Neodiprion lecontei: one gene and its partner. The protein of the gene in region 2 interacts with the protein of the main gene of each other region in a biochemical or structural test. Links are inferred from orthologs where the notes say so. Each region holds a gene or a part of one and is shown on either strand. Other genes may lie near its edges.

Evidence for each region. The genes of interacting proteins can lie anywhere in the genome.
Region 1: the proteins of peroxisomal biogenesis factor 19 (region 2) and ATP-binding cassette sub-family D member 3 form a complex in vitro, tested with the Homo sapiens proteins (4 studies listed by BioGRID and IntAct, with this or other methods). The link is inferred for Neodiprion lecontei from reciprocal best matches to the Homo sapiens genes PEX19 and ABCD3.

What each region holds. Positions count from the first base shown.
Region 1 is NC_060263.1:39,546,104-39,553,923, forward strand, and holds the start of ATP-binding cassette sub-family D member 3, read left to right. Parts: upstream 1-1,800; 5' UTR 1,801-2,166; coding exon 2,167-2,282; intron 2,283-2,402; coding exon 2,403-2,445; intron 2,446-2,510; coding exon 2,511-2,698; intron 2,699-2,808; coding exon 2,809-2,878; intron 2,879-3,167; coding exon 3,168-3,265; intron 3,266-3,455; coding exon 3,456-3,636; intron 3,637-3,807; coding exon 3,808-4,020; intron 4,021-4,109; coding exon 4,110-4,179; intron 4,180-4,284; coding exon 4,285-4,760; intron 4,761-4,846; coding exon 4,847-5,146; intron 5,147-5,244; coding exon 5,245-5,406; intron 5,407-5,494; coding exon 5,495-5,572; 3' UTR 5,573-5,602; exon of another isoform or gene 5,603-6,521; 3' UTR 6,522-7,820. Other genes in the region: GPI mannosyltransferase 3, read left to right, coding at 1-604. UniProt on the Homo sapiens protein: Broad substrate specificity ATP-dependent transporter of the ATP-binding cassette (ABC) family that catalyzes the transport of long-chain fatty acids (LCFA)-CoA, dicarboxylic acids-CoA, long-branched-chain fatty acids-CoA and bile acids from the cytosol to the peroxisome lumen for beta-oxydation.
Region 2 is NC_060263.1:34,408,371-34,414,429, reverse strand, and holds peroxisomal biogenesis factor 19, read right to left. Parts: upstream 4,136-6,059; 5' UTR 3,924-4,135; coding exon 3,860-3,923; intron 3,344-3,859; coding exon 3,158-3,343; intron 3,105-3,157; coding exon 2,941-3,104; intron 2,784-2,940; coding exon 2,535-2,783; intron 2,422-2,534; coding exon 2,206-2,421; 3' UTR 728-2,205; downstream 1-727. Other genes in the region: phosphoglycerate kinase, read left to right, coding at 1-48, 145-364, 447-727; hsp70-binding protein 1, read right to left, coding at 4,658-4,868, 4,964-5,204, 5,437-5,839, 5,949-6,059. UniProt on the Homo sapiens protein: Necessary for early peroxisomal biogenesis. Acts both as a cytosolic chaperone and as an import receptor for peroxisomal membrane proteins (PMPs).

The DNA.
Region 1 (7,820 bases), about 5.1 Mb from region 2:
GACTCTGGCCATCTATTCAATGATACCTCATAAAGAAATTAGGTTTATTCTTCCGTTACTCCCATTCTTCGTCTGCCTTGGTACTAGTGGCATTTTGTGCATAAAAAATTCTGTGGCACCCTTTACGCGAAAAGTTCTCATGAACGTTTTGGTGCTCACTAATTTATTGCCAGGACTTTACTTCTCTCTGATTCATTTGCGAGGTTCGTTAGATGCCATGAAAATATTACGTCAGGAAATTGCAAGTGTACCAAATGATGACGTCAATATCTTATTCCTCACTCCCTGCCATGCAACTCCCTTTTATAGTCACTTGCATGCTAATGTAACAGCCAGGTTTCTGACTTGCGAACCAAGCTTAAGCAACCGAGATGACTACATTGATGAGGCATCAGAGTTCTTTGCAAATCCAAACCTCTGGTTAAGACAAACTTACAGTAACACTAAAGATACGGAGATGCCCACACATCTTGTATTATTTCATGAGCTTGCTCCAAGTATTCATCAATTTCTTGATAAATACAGACTAATCGCTGATTTATTTTATGCTCATATCACACCAACTAATTACAGTCAATACCTACTGATTTACAAAAGGAAGTGACTATCCTTGATTCAATTGCATCGATTGCTTCATTTTAAGTATCTCCATTGTCGACTGATAACTTCGTATCTAGTCTAAGTGATTAACAATTCCTAAACTGCCGATATACTAAGACTACTTAGTCATCATTATGCATTTTGTTTACATGTAAAATTCGCATAAGATTTTCATTAGCCTATAACTTGTTACATTAGGATTCCGCTTTGGGTTTGGTGACTCAAATGGCTCGGGAATAATTGTTATTACTGCGAAACTTCGAGAGTCATGCAAATTGTTATATGACTTAACATTAAGTTTTTTGTGTGTTACAGGTTTGTAAATATTATGAAACTGACATGTTATGACGTAAAATTATCTGTGCCTGCTCATTGGACTTAAAATGTTAGTAGGGCGTGATATGAATGCTATTACAAAAGTAGCAATCGTAATAAACCAGTGTTTAAAATGTCACCGTTTTTTATTCCTATTTGATATCCAAGTATCCAATCTTACAATCAGGTGGACAGTGAAAATGCTGTTAGCTATGCTCAATTAAAATTCGATGTCACTTGGGCCTGCCAGAATATTAGAAAGTTTCCAGTGACGGTTTTCCTATAAATGTCAATCAACCATTCAACATCCTATTTCTCTAAAGTATTTTTCAATTAATCACTAGTATACTCATTGCTTTCCCACTTCTTGATGTGTTATATTTCTTTTTTCGTAATTGACCGTTATACAAGCTACCATAGATATAACAGACTTTTCAATTACTCTGAGGCATTATAGTCATTCAAACTTGTGGCTTTTGATAAGCAATCGTGGTTATAACTGTATTATATTGCGAGTAGAATTCAAGGTCGTGGATTATTTCCTCCTATCAACAAAGTATTTAAATATAATTTGATATTTGAGCCCTAGTGATGAGTGGGAAGTTCGAACGGCGGGGAGGAACACACACAATTGACCATGAATGATAAGTTCGAACGAGTTTTTTTTTACTATCTTCTACAAAGTTGAAAAATATTTTTCTTTCAAAAACGTACCGTGATAGCTGTAATGACATAGTAATGACGTAACCAAGGTCCGAGTTTGTGGCTAACCTAGCCTATCGAGTTCAGTTTTATCCTTGTCTTATATGGGAGCTTGCGCAAGTGTGCGAGACACGTGTCTAATTTTTCCCTTGTAGTTATCTCGCTACACTCGGATGCGCCCGAACGTAGCCTTTGGTTGCATCTTTTTCGACAGTTAAATTATGTGCATGCATACATACGTAAAATCGAAGGTTCGCACCGTCATTCCATGAAGGCGGTGATCATTGAAAATTTACTTAATATTTATTTTGACGGTTAGGACATAGGTGGTCGCGCGGTTAGGTTGGCATACGTTGCGTCACTGGCGTAGTGACTTGCGTTGATGTAAATTGGAGGTAACGAACGAAGTAGAATTGTAAGAAAACAAAAACGAGTGATAAACACCGGGTAATGTATTCAAGAATTCAAATGCATTCCATCGAAAGCGAATGAAAACCAGATACCAATTAAAGTCCATAGTGAGGGAACCGAAAGGGAGTTAAGGCAAAAATGGCACCTGCACTTAGTAAATTTGTAACAAAAAGGTCAATCGCAGGAGCGATAAGTGTCAGCGCAATAATTTGGCTGCTGAACAAAAAAACGAAAAAACGGACATCGAAACTTAGGTAACTAATTAAAATTACTAGTCGAAACCGTCGACGTTGTCTCATTCATTTGTCTACATTCTGCAATGTCACTAACTTTCTTCTCCTAAATAATGCAATGTAATAATTTTCCTTTCACAGACATCAACAGACAAACAACGACATTCAGTATGTCATTAAAGAGGTAAGGATGACAAATTTCATCATAGTTACTCAGATAATCATTAAACGATAATTCAATTTCTGCAGGACAAACCCAAATCGCCCAAAGCTCACGTTAACGCAGAATTCTTCAGGCAGCTACGCCAGCTTATTGCTATTGGCGTTCCAGGAGTTTTTTCCACAGAATCGGGATACTTACTCCTGATAGCTGTGGCTCTCGTTGTCAGATCGTTTTGTGATTTATGGATGATTAATGCAGGGACGCTTATCGAATCGTATGTAAACTTTGGTTATCTAAAATTATACAATTTGTAGATATTGTATTATTCTATCTAGTATTTACTGCGTCCATGCTTTTTGTCCTTAAGCAAAAAATCATTTTCAGGTCTATAGTTAGTATGAATGGACCTCTATTTAGAAAACGACTTTTCTGGTTCTTCTCCGCATTGCCATTGGTAAGCGAGTGTATTTGTTCAATTGATTTCATTTAATGTTAAATTTAAAAAATATGCCATTATTGTCAAATGAGTTGTTGATGATGAGTCTAAAATTGGTGTTACAATAATACGCACTTGAAATATCGGGATCTATCAAATATAGTGAAAATAGAAACACTGCAATTTTATGCTCATTCGCATCGGATAATAAATATCAGCTCTCTGGAATGTTAATATTGTTTTTCACCTATAAAATTATAATTTCCTAAAATTTGATAAAATTTTCACCACACATTTATTGATTTAGGTTTCAATAGTGAACAATATACTGAAGTATGGTATTGGCGAAGTGAAACTTAGGTTACGCACTAACATTACACACCACCTTATGGATAAATACCTCAAGTAAGTATTAAGTGCTGGTTGCAATCAGAAAAGAAGTCATTTCGAAGATAACGATATGATGTATTAGGGTGGAAACAATTTATGTACAGATTTTTTCAGGCTTTAAATTGGCATATTATGTCTGTGGTATTAATATTTGTTTATGCAATTACAATCTAATTCATCTAATCATTTATTCATTAATTCACAGGGGTTTCACATACTATAAAATGTGCAACTTGGATAACCGCATTGCAAATCCAGACCAATTGCTCACAACAGATGTTGATAAATTCTGCGAAAGTTGCACAGATTTGTACAGTAATATTGCTAAACCTCTACTGGATATATCTATTTACGTATACAGACTCACGTCCACTCTCGGAGGACAGGTAAAGACAATATTTAAAATGAAATTTTATACTTTGATACATGAATAAAGTAGCTGCTCAAAAACTTTTTGCTGCAAATCCGTAAAGACCAGTCATCGCTCATATAACGTTCTAATTTTGCACATCACGCAAAATCATGATTGTTTGTTTCATTTTTTTTTCCCCCAACAGACACCCCTGCTTATGCTGGGTTACTTGTTGGGAGCAGGAACGTTTTTAACGCATCTTCGTAGACCAATCGGGTCATTGACTGTGACGGAACAGCGACTTGAAGGGGAATATCGTCACATTAACTCACGCCTGATAGTCAATTCAGAAGAGATTGCTTTTTATCAGGGAAATAATCGTGAGAAGCTAACCCTCCTCACCAGCTTCCAAAAATTGGTAAAACATTTTTTTGTATACCATGAATATGTTGCGAGATAACACAGAAATTAGACACGGTAACTAATAACTTTTAATGGACTCTTTAGATCACACATCTACGAAGATTCCTTGAGTTTAAAGTAACTTTGGGAGTAGTGGATAATTTTGTTGGGAAGTGTAAGTAAAATAGTAAACAAAATATCTATAATTGACCACAGCAAGATTTTGGGGAGAGATCAAGAACAAAGACCGCAACTGGGATAATTTAATTCTTATTTCCAGATGCGGCAACGATTGTCGGTTTCTATGCAGTCAGCATTCCCTTCCTCCAAAAAAATCATCCGATACTGAGTGGAACCCCTGATCATCGTTACAAAAGTTACTACACATATGGCCGAATGTTGATAAAGTTGGCGGAAGCTATCGGCAGGCTGGTACTTGCAGGAAGAGAGTTGACACGACTGGCCGGTTTCACAGCCAGAGTTACAGAAATAAGAACAGTCTTGAACGACCTGAACTCAGGGAAATATCAGCGAACTATGGTGGCAGACAATAAGTCCGAACCGGTTGGCGCACCAGGAGCAGGAAAAATAGTTGCTAAGGACAACATAATAAAATTCGAGCATGTGCCTTTAGTTACACCAAACGGTGATGTACTTGTAAAAGATTTATGTTTTGAGGTGAAATCTGGCATGAACGTTTTGGTCTGCGGTCCAAATGGTTGTGGAAAGAGTTCCCTATTCCGAATTCTCGGCGAGGTAAGTAATCGGCACCAATTCAATTTTCTGTTCATTGCCTGAGCAATAGCTGTATCATAATAATCAATAACTTAATCAACAATTAGCTTTGGCCAGTCTGGGGAGGAATTGTAACTAAGCCACCAAAGGGGAAATTGTTTTACATCCCGCAAAGACCGTACATGACGTTGGGTACTCTCAGAGACCAAGTAATTTACCCTCATACAAGAGCTGAAATGCTGCGACGAGGTAATTGTAATGACGCCGATCTGGAGGAGTTCTTAAATGTGGTGCAACTTGGTCATCTGCTGGAAAGAGACGGTCAAGGAAAGGGGAAAGGACAGGGTTGGGACACCGTTGCCGACTGGATTGACGTTTTGTCAGGCGGAGAAAAGCAGCGCATTGCGGTAAATTGTTTCCCCTTGTATACGGGCGCGTATACCAGTGAACTAAAACTTTTTGTTATTCGTGTAAATTGACGCGGAACCGATTTTTTTATGTTCAGATGGCAAGGTTGTTTTATCATGCACCACAGTTCGCCATTCTCGACGAATGTACGAGTGCAGTTAGCGTGGATGTCGAGGATTCCATGTATTCTTACTGCAGACGAGCTGGTATTACTTTATTCACCGTTTCTCACCGAAAGTCCCTTTGGAAACACCACGAGGTAGGACTCAAAATCTGGCTTGTTACTTTCGCAAACCTGATGTATAAATGTGGATAATAATGTCGTTTCTGTTTCTTTTTTTGTTCAGTATTACCTTCAAATGGATGGTAGAGGCTCGTTTGAGTTTAAACAAATTGAGCAAGATACAGAAGAATTTGGATCATGAATTTTATTGTGAATCGTAATTCTCTATAAGGTGGTATGCATTAAATATACATATAGATACAATTACAAGAATTATAGAACAAATATGATAAATTATCAAATCAAGCATCTAACGAATGATCCCAGAAATTAAAATTCGAACGTAATCGATTTTAGAGAGTAGGATTTGAGCTCATATTATACGCACACATCTCTGTAGGCATAGAAGATATTTTTACACAGGTCAACTATAAATACGTCGTCAATACTTGAAAACCGGGTTGTAAAAATATACGTACAATGATTTTTTAATAATTTCACTATGGGGAAATTTCGAAAATCTAAATCAAGTTTTACAGAAATATAATGGTTATCATTATTTAGAACATTTAGGAATATTATCGCAACTATTGTATTATCGGATAGTTTCATGATAATGTTTAGCAAACAAATTGTCTCACAATCAACAGTTCACAGGCTATGGGATTTTTGAATTAAGTTGATGCAAGTCAAAATTTTCACCACTCTATCTCCTCTTACAAATATACAGGGGATTTCTGATGAAAGGGTAACCTCTGAGCTCACACCGCTAGCGCTAACCACATGTACAAGTTTTTGTTCACAGCATTTATCTGCTATGCTCGGGTCACGTAAAAGTTGCTACTCGCGTGGCTTGGAGATTGCCTTTTGACCAGACATTCCCTGTATATGAAGAATAGAAATGGACGGGAACAATATTCTGAATGGGTATAGGAGAGAGTTTGGTAACATCGGGAATCTATAAATTATTGGGAATGAGTACATAGAGAACAAGGGGTGTATATCAGTTTAATACTGTGTGTGTCCTGTTAAATTACGTGAACAATACTTAAAGTAATCGAATTTGTGCCGAGATAAAGTAAAAAACAAATTTACGTTAGGATCAAATAAATGGTAAATATAACTGTATATATTATACTATATTCATACAGGTGAATCATGGATAGTTTAGGCTACCACGATGCTCAGCCACGGCTTGATTCCAAAACTAATGTGTTCAAGAAGGGATCGTTAGGCTACGTTTTATAGATAATAATTACTAGCGTATAACATCACAAGCATTTGAACTCTTTTAAAAAAATTTAACGCCATTTAATGGCGTTAGGGTAAGAACAAGAATTTGTCACTTGTGAATTTTTAAGCTTTAGACCCTTAAATCTAAGATTAGGAGGGGATGTAATAAATTGTACTATAGATAATTAGACCAAACGTTTTGACCGAGTGACAATGAAAATTAAATGAAACGCGTTGCATTATCGTTGAACGTAAATATTTTGTTCAATGAACATCTTCTGGAATAAGATGTAAGATTGTTGATAGAAATGAAAATTTTGCGTCTCAGCAATTAGTAATTAATTTGAACAATTCGAAACAAAAGTTTTTTTACTGCTTGTTTATTTGATCTCTCATTATTAAATACAATTCAAATATTAATATATTCGACATAGTGCAATTTTTAAGTAAAAAATCAGTTGCGAAATATCGTATTCGAAAAAATTACTACCGCCTCTAGAGACTGTACTTTACAATGCCATAGTTATTTTATATCCAGCTTAAATGCGAAAAGACCTCTACTCGTGGAAATAATAATTACACATTTATATTCTTCTTCCGAAAATTACCTCCTATTTTACTCTCGGTAGTAAAATCACAGAGAAGTCTAACGAAAATTATAAGGTTTCAGTTAACACTGAGTACGGTTGTATATTATGTATACATATTTACGACGGAGACGATTAATTACAATTATTGTTATATTGTTAATTGTTATGTGCAGAGCACATTGTATATTTATATAACGTAATAATTTTAACAAAAATGTCATCACAATAACCATAGTCTTAACGATTTTATTATTAGTATACATGTATATGGAATTGCTGGCCAACGGGTAAAAATATTGAAACAATTTTTTTATATTGAAATAAAGATCACTTTCCGAAGAAAGCATTGTACAGAAAAATGATTAAAAAATAACCGCAATTTTCAGTCAGTGAAAAGGTTTTTGTGAGGGATAAGTAAGATATTTGTGGCGCCCATTTTTGACCATTGATTCTTGGTGTTTTTACCAAATCAAGGAGAATTTCAAGAATAAAAAATTCGCCATTTTGGCCTCCCTAAGGAGATGTAAGCATTTTTAACGGTCATTGGAAACACATCAAAATTCAACGATTTTTTTTTACTCATGAGTTTGGCATCCGTACGAAAGGGGCACAGTCGAAACCACAGTC
Region 2 (6,059 bases):
GGTGGTGGAATGGCATTCACATTTCTGAAAGTCACGAAAAACATGAAGGTACGGTGATCAGAAAGCAGTAGATTTTTATCACATTGAAGTGCGACTCAGATGATAATAATAATAACAATTGTATTCATTGGTCTGATTTTACAGATTGGTGCTTCTCTCTTTGACGAAGAAGGTGCAAAAATCGTTAATGACCTTCTGGAAAAAGCAAAAAAGAATAACGTACAAGTACATTTACCTGTGGATTTCCTGACGGGTGATAAATTTGCTGAAAACGCAACTGTTGGAACTGCTGATGTTGAAACAGGCATTGCTGACGGCCTTTTGGGTCTCGACATTGGTCCTAAATCACAGGCTATATTTGCTGGTAAATAATAATAGCAAACAACAAGGGATTGACACTCTCGCTATGGGATGAATCCGAAATTGATACGGCTTTCAAATTACAGAACCTCTGAAGCGAGCAAAGGTAATCGTGTGGAACGGTCCGGCAGGAGTTTTTGAGTTTGAAAACTTCAGCAAAGGTACAAAGAGTCTGATGGATGGTGTTGTTGCTGCCACACAGCGTGGTGCAATCACGATAATCGGCGGTGGTGATACAGCTACTTGCGCAGTAAAATGGCAAACAGAAGACAAAGTTAGCCATGTCAGTACTGGCGGTGGTGCCAGCTTGGAGCTTCTAGAAGGCAAAGTTTTACCAGGAGTTGCGGCTCTTTCCGATGCCCCATAAATGGGGCAAAAGGTTCCTGTACAATTCACAAACTCTTGACTTTTCAGAGCAGATTAGCACTGTTTGAACCACTATGTGTATATAGAATATCGATTCCTGAAACGTGATATAAAGATTTAGTTCTATGTAATCTCTTTAGATGTCACGTTTTATCTCTATAAGAATATTGTACCAAAATGTATCATGTTGCTATTTAATAAAAGTTAACGATTCTAATTCTAAATTCATGTGAATTATGCTGGCATATTGTATGCGATCACCTAGCTTTACATTGACCTGGAAGCTCCAGTCGTCTAAGAATGTCAATCAATAGGACAACCGCGTGTAACAGTGAAAATGTGCCATACCTCAGAAGTAGTCCTAAGGGTTCTGGCTGTCCACCTCTGTTCACTGCGATCAATTAGACAATTTAAGACTTCTCACTTATCTCGAGGACATGTTAAATATAACAACATTGTAACGATGAATAAATAACAATTTATGTGTATAAACATCTAACTCATGGCACTTACAAAAATGTTGAAACCCGTCCCATGAACAGACTAACAAACATAGCCATGTCTCATGTGGCGCAAGGGTATAATAAATATTAACACGTACCTAGATGAAATAAATCTGCTGAACCGAGTATAACAGAATAAAAATTTACTATCTGTAAAAAAAAGTAGTAACGCGTATAAGGACATATTTATTATTACCTTATAATTACCATTTTCCCGTAGGTGGCTAGTGAAGATCACAGATCGTGTTTAGGTTTTATTTTTAAATTATAATATGGTGACCTATTCCTTATATATTACATCTATATGCATAATGCATGTATTGTCAGTAGGGATGTGACTGGACCAGAAGTGTTAAATCTTGTCAAAGTCGAATTTTCGCATCCCTAACGTTATGTTTGTAATTCGTACATAACATTGCGAAGTATATACATGTATACACGTACCTACACCGCATTTTAGGTAAGATACACGTAAAATAAGAAAACAAACCCTATGCACGGCGCATAGAAAATTGTGCGAGGCAGTTGCTACATGAAAAACGATCACGTACTCCATACTCAAACCGATGTGCACACAAATGAAATAAAGTCATGAAATTAACCGAACAACTACCCCACATCATATTAATTTCAATGATGAAAAGAGAATTTTATGTAATCTATCATTGAAAATGCAAATGACTGTAGATATGCTATAGATATCTGTCGGCACTAGTGTTGCGAAATAAACATGGAAGCTCAGCAAATCAAAAAATATGGTAAAGGCAACTACTGAAGTGAAATATTTTTGTCATTTCAATCTAGGTCTTTGTTTATAAAAAACAAATAAATCTTACTATTGGAGAATAAAAGTTTTTAAAATGGCCATTTCATTAAAACAATGTTATGAAAATCGATACTGACGAAGTTTGACAATCTTTTTTTCTTTGTCAAACATATTGCGACATTTCTAAGGCTACGTAACAATTTTATACTTTTACATGACGCAGCAGTTTTCAGGTGGGTCAACTCCAGGTGGAAAAACTGGATTTCCTTCAGCATCGCACTTGAAAAGTGCAGGAGCACCGACCAACTCTTCTGGTGGTTGCCCGCAGTTCTGCATTTGGTTCATCAATGCCAATGTCTTTTCAAAGCGAGCCTTTTTCACTTCATCAGAGTCGTCTTCTTTCTCATTTTCCAGCTCTGCACATACCTACGGAAGCGAACCACATAAATGAATCTCGCATCAGTTTCTGATATTATCTCTCATTATAATTTCAGTTAAAATGTTTGCCTGCCTATGGTGACAATTATTAAATTGCACACCTTTTGCATGAGATTTAATTGTTCCGTGTATCTTTCAAAATCAGCTGCTGGTAGGGTGGGTTTTTTTTCTTCAAGCCACACTGGATATTTATCAACTAACTCTTTCATTGTGGGATATAAAACCTCCTTGGACAATAAAGACTGCATCATCCCTTGCATGAAAGATGGGAATTCGCCAGACTCTTCCTCCAGAGATGTTCTCCCGAACATAGCAGCCAGATCTGCTTCTCCCAATCCTGGCACCGGGTTCTATTACAAAAAGTGTACATCAAAAATCAAAATTTGTGGCAAAATATTCTGAAAATAAAATACTACACATGTAACCTAGTGTTCTATCAATATGATTTAGTTGAATATATAAAAAAGTGCTCAAAAATCAAGGGTTATCTTCAGTGTTGAACATCACCTGCAGATCCTGACTCGTACTGGACAAATCTTTAAGCGCTTGTGAAATGGCTGACTGAAAGTCACTGCGAGAACTTTCGCTCCCAAGATCGCCTTCCCCTGTGATAGCACTGGCTACAGTTTGTGCCATTTTTTGGAAAGAGGCTCCCAGATCGTTATCATCACCTATGCAATAAATTGTGTTATAACAACTCGACAATTATTTCTTCAGTTATCACCATTTTGTATCAGGTTCTGTAGGTTTTTTTCGAACTGGTCTGCAGCTTGTTTGATAAAATCTTGCGTCCACTGATCTTCAGCGCCAGCTGCGGCATCCGGCTGCTCCAATTGTGCCGACGATGCAACTGCCGTTGCATCGGTTTTTGGTTTTTCGCTTTGAACCTGATTGAAATCCTCGAGAGCGCCTGGAAAAATTTAAAAGTTTGCTATTACATTGATTTCAAATTCAAAATTCACATCTGATGAAACCTGCGTACTAAAATTGCAAAAACTAAGGTTAAACCGAATTAAATTGATAAGATGACCTACATATATCGAATTCCTAATAATAAACGGATAAAGCATGCATTTTATTTTTTGTACCAAGACAACAATTGACTAAGCAGGTGTTATGGAACAATTGACAAAAATTCTAGGTCAATTTCTAACATTACATAACAGTAAAATTATTGAAAAAGGAAGACTGTATAAAATAAAATTTTGATCTATTATCTGGTGGCCAGAAATTTCATTGGAAGGTTATAAATAATCTTGACTTCATAATTATCGCTAAATAATGAAAATAACAGCTATAGACGCTGTTCGTTTCAGTGGTTATAGGTTATGTTTGTGCATAATAATTTTTCATCACCAAGTCGTTGCTGATTTTTGCAAACGGAGATTACGCCGTAAATGAAAATGTAATTTGCGTCAGTACTCACTATCCAATAAGTCGTTTAATTCCGCATCTGCAGGTTCTCCAGATTTTTTCTTATCCTCAGACATTGTCGAGTTGCTTCCCGCTACGTCACGCGCGAACAATTAAATAAATCCCAAGCCTAAAGACCTCGCGCGCTTCTGCTTAGTGTATTACAAAAATTAAATTCCAGCGGCCGAATCACAACTTTCTTTGCGACGCGTGGCGTACCAATGCCGCGTATCAGCACAAAGTTCAACCCATATAACCAGATGAAAAATTTTTTCGCAACTTAATTAACTTATTTTCCTTGCCTTCCTTATTTTTTATACAGATTCGAGTAAGATTTAATGAAACTTTTAATGATCGCTTTGGTCACGTATACCTACGTAGTTTTACTTGAATTGCATTATTCGGATCACGAATAACGGAATATTCGATAGGTATCGTCGTTCACAAAAAATTATCAACCTATCGCATAACGGATACATTCATTAGTCACTAATTGCCTCCAGACGCGAATGTGCACGTGCAACGGTGTATTAAGGGCAGACGGACTTATCGATTGAATGATTGATTGCAACAACGCTCTGTTGGCAATATCAGGATTTTATCTGTATAAAGTACTTGCACATATTCAACAAATTATTTGTTCATATACATAGTGGTAATCTGTATTAGCGTACAGTTATAAACGTCAAGTTACTCGAATAAGGGAAAAAAATAAATATTTATGTTTATTGTACATATTTTGTGTTACAATTGAACAAGAATTACAACTCTGTTAGGCAGATCATCGATCTGGCTGCACGCAAGAGATCGGCTATCTCTCCTGATTTGTCTCATGATCTGAAAATATTTGATCTAAAAGCTGAGCACACATGTCAGCTTCGTCGAAACTTTCTTCTGCCCTTAGTTCACGTTGATGACGTTCTAGAGTCTGCCTCAGGCAAAGTTGCGGCCTTCTGCATTCCTTCAATGCTGGCAAGTAGTTATTTTTGGCCAATCCAGCTAGTACCCTCAATAGCTGGTCCCTTGAGTTATTTACAAAAAGAAGAATCCATATATATTAATTCCGTTAGCAGTTCGGACAGAAATATTTTGTAAGTGAAGTAACGGAATTTAGTACCTTGTATCTGGATGAAGACCTTGCATTGCCAGCAAACCAGCCGCTTGTTCGATCAAACCCATATTAACAAGAGTTGTCTTTAAATTATGGGGATTGCCATCTTTGCTACATAAAGATGATAACAGGAAGGCAGATTTTATCTGCAGTTTTTCTATTGGACTTTGCAATGCCCTTAGCAGAACTGAATAGCCATCATTGACATTCAGGTGAGTCAATGATACTGGGTTCTCCCTCACCAGACCTAAATGATGAAACATCGTGATAGCAACATAAACTCAGTTAATTGATTACATACTCTGAACTTATTCTTCCAATTTATTCTTCAGCAAGAATGAGGCAGGGCAACTTTTAAAATCAAATATTAGTAAATCTGTCTGTATCGGTGATCATGGTAGATATAAATTCTCTCGAATCGTTTCTGATTAGTTTATGAATACAGAATGATGACATATTATGTAAAAATGTGGACTTACAAGAAACTGCATATAAGGCCTTAATTCTGGTCTGTTCTGAGGGGTCTGTGTCTACCATATGCAGTAATGTCGGCATCAAACCAAACTCCAAGACCTTTTCTTGACAGTATGGATTATTTTGCGTCAACTCAGCGATAATGTCAGCTGCCCTCCATCTGTGACTGCTGTACTTAGAATTAAGGCAGGGTTCGAATATCGCGAAGCCTCCAATTTTGTAAAAGTCATTTGCAGTGTCCATGTTGTCGACATAATTTGCGATCACATCCAGTGCATTATCGTATTGGGAAGGTTCATTCTCAAGCTGGAGTTCGCTTGCACTGGACAACACTTTTATCGACTTTTGAAGTTCCTCTATCACATTTACAGTCATAGAAGACAACGCTTGATTCAAGAACGCTTGTCGCTATACAGAGAAAAGAAAATATAAGCTTATTTTCCTTAATTGATGAAAAAATAGAATTAATTTCAAAACAAGCCGGACTTCATTTGCCACTGAATAGTTTTTTCCATACCTCCTGATCCAGCGGTTGGAACTGCGAAGACTGTGAAGCATTCTCCTCTTGCCTAGCTTCCATGGCAAATCGAAGCAGCCCTTGTAGATTGGATGGCTGCCTTGGTTGAGT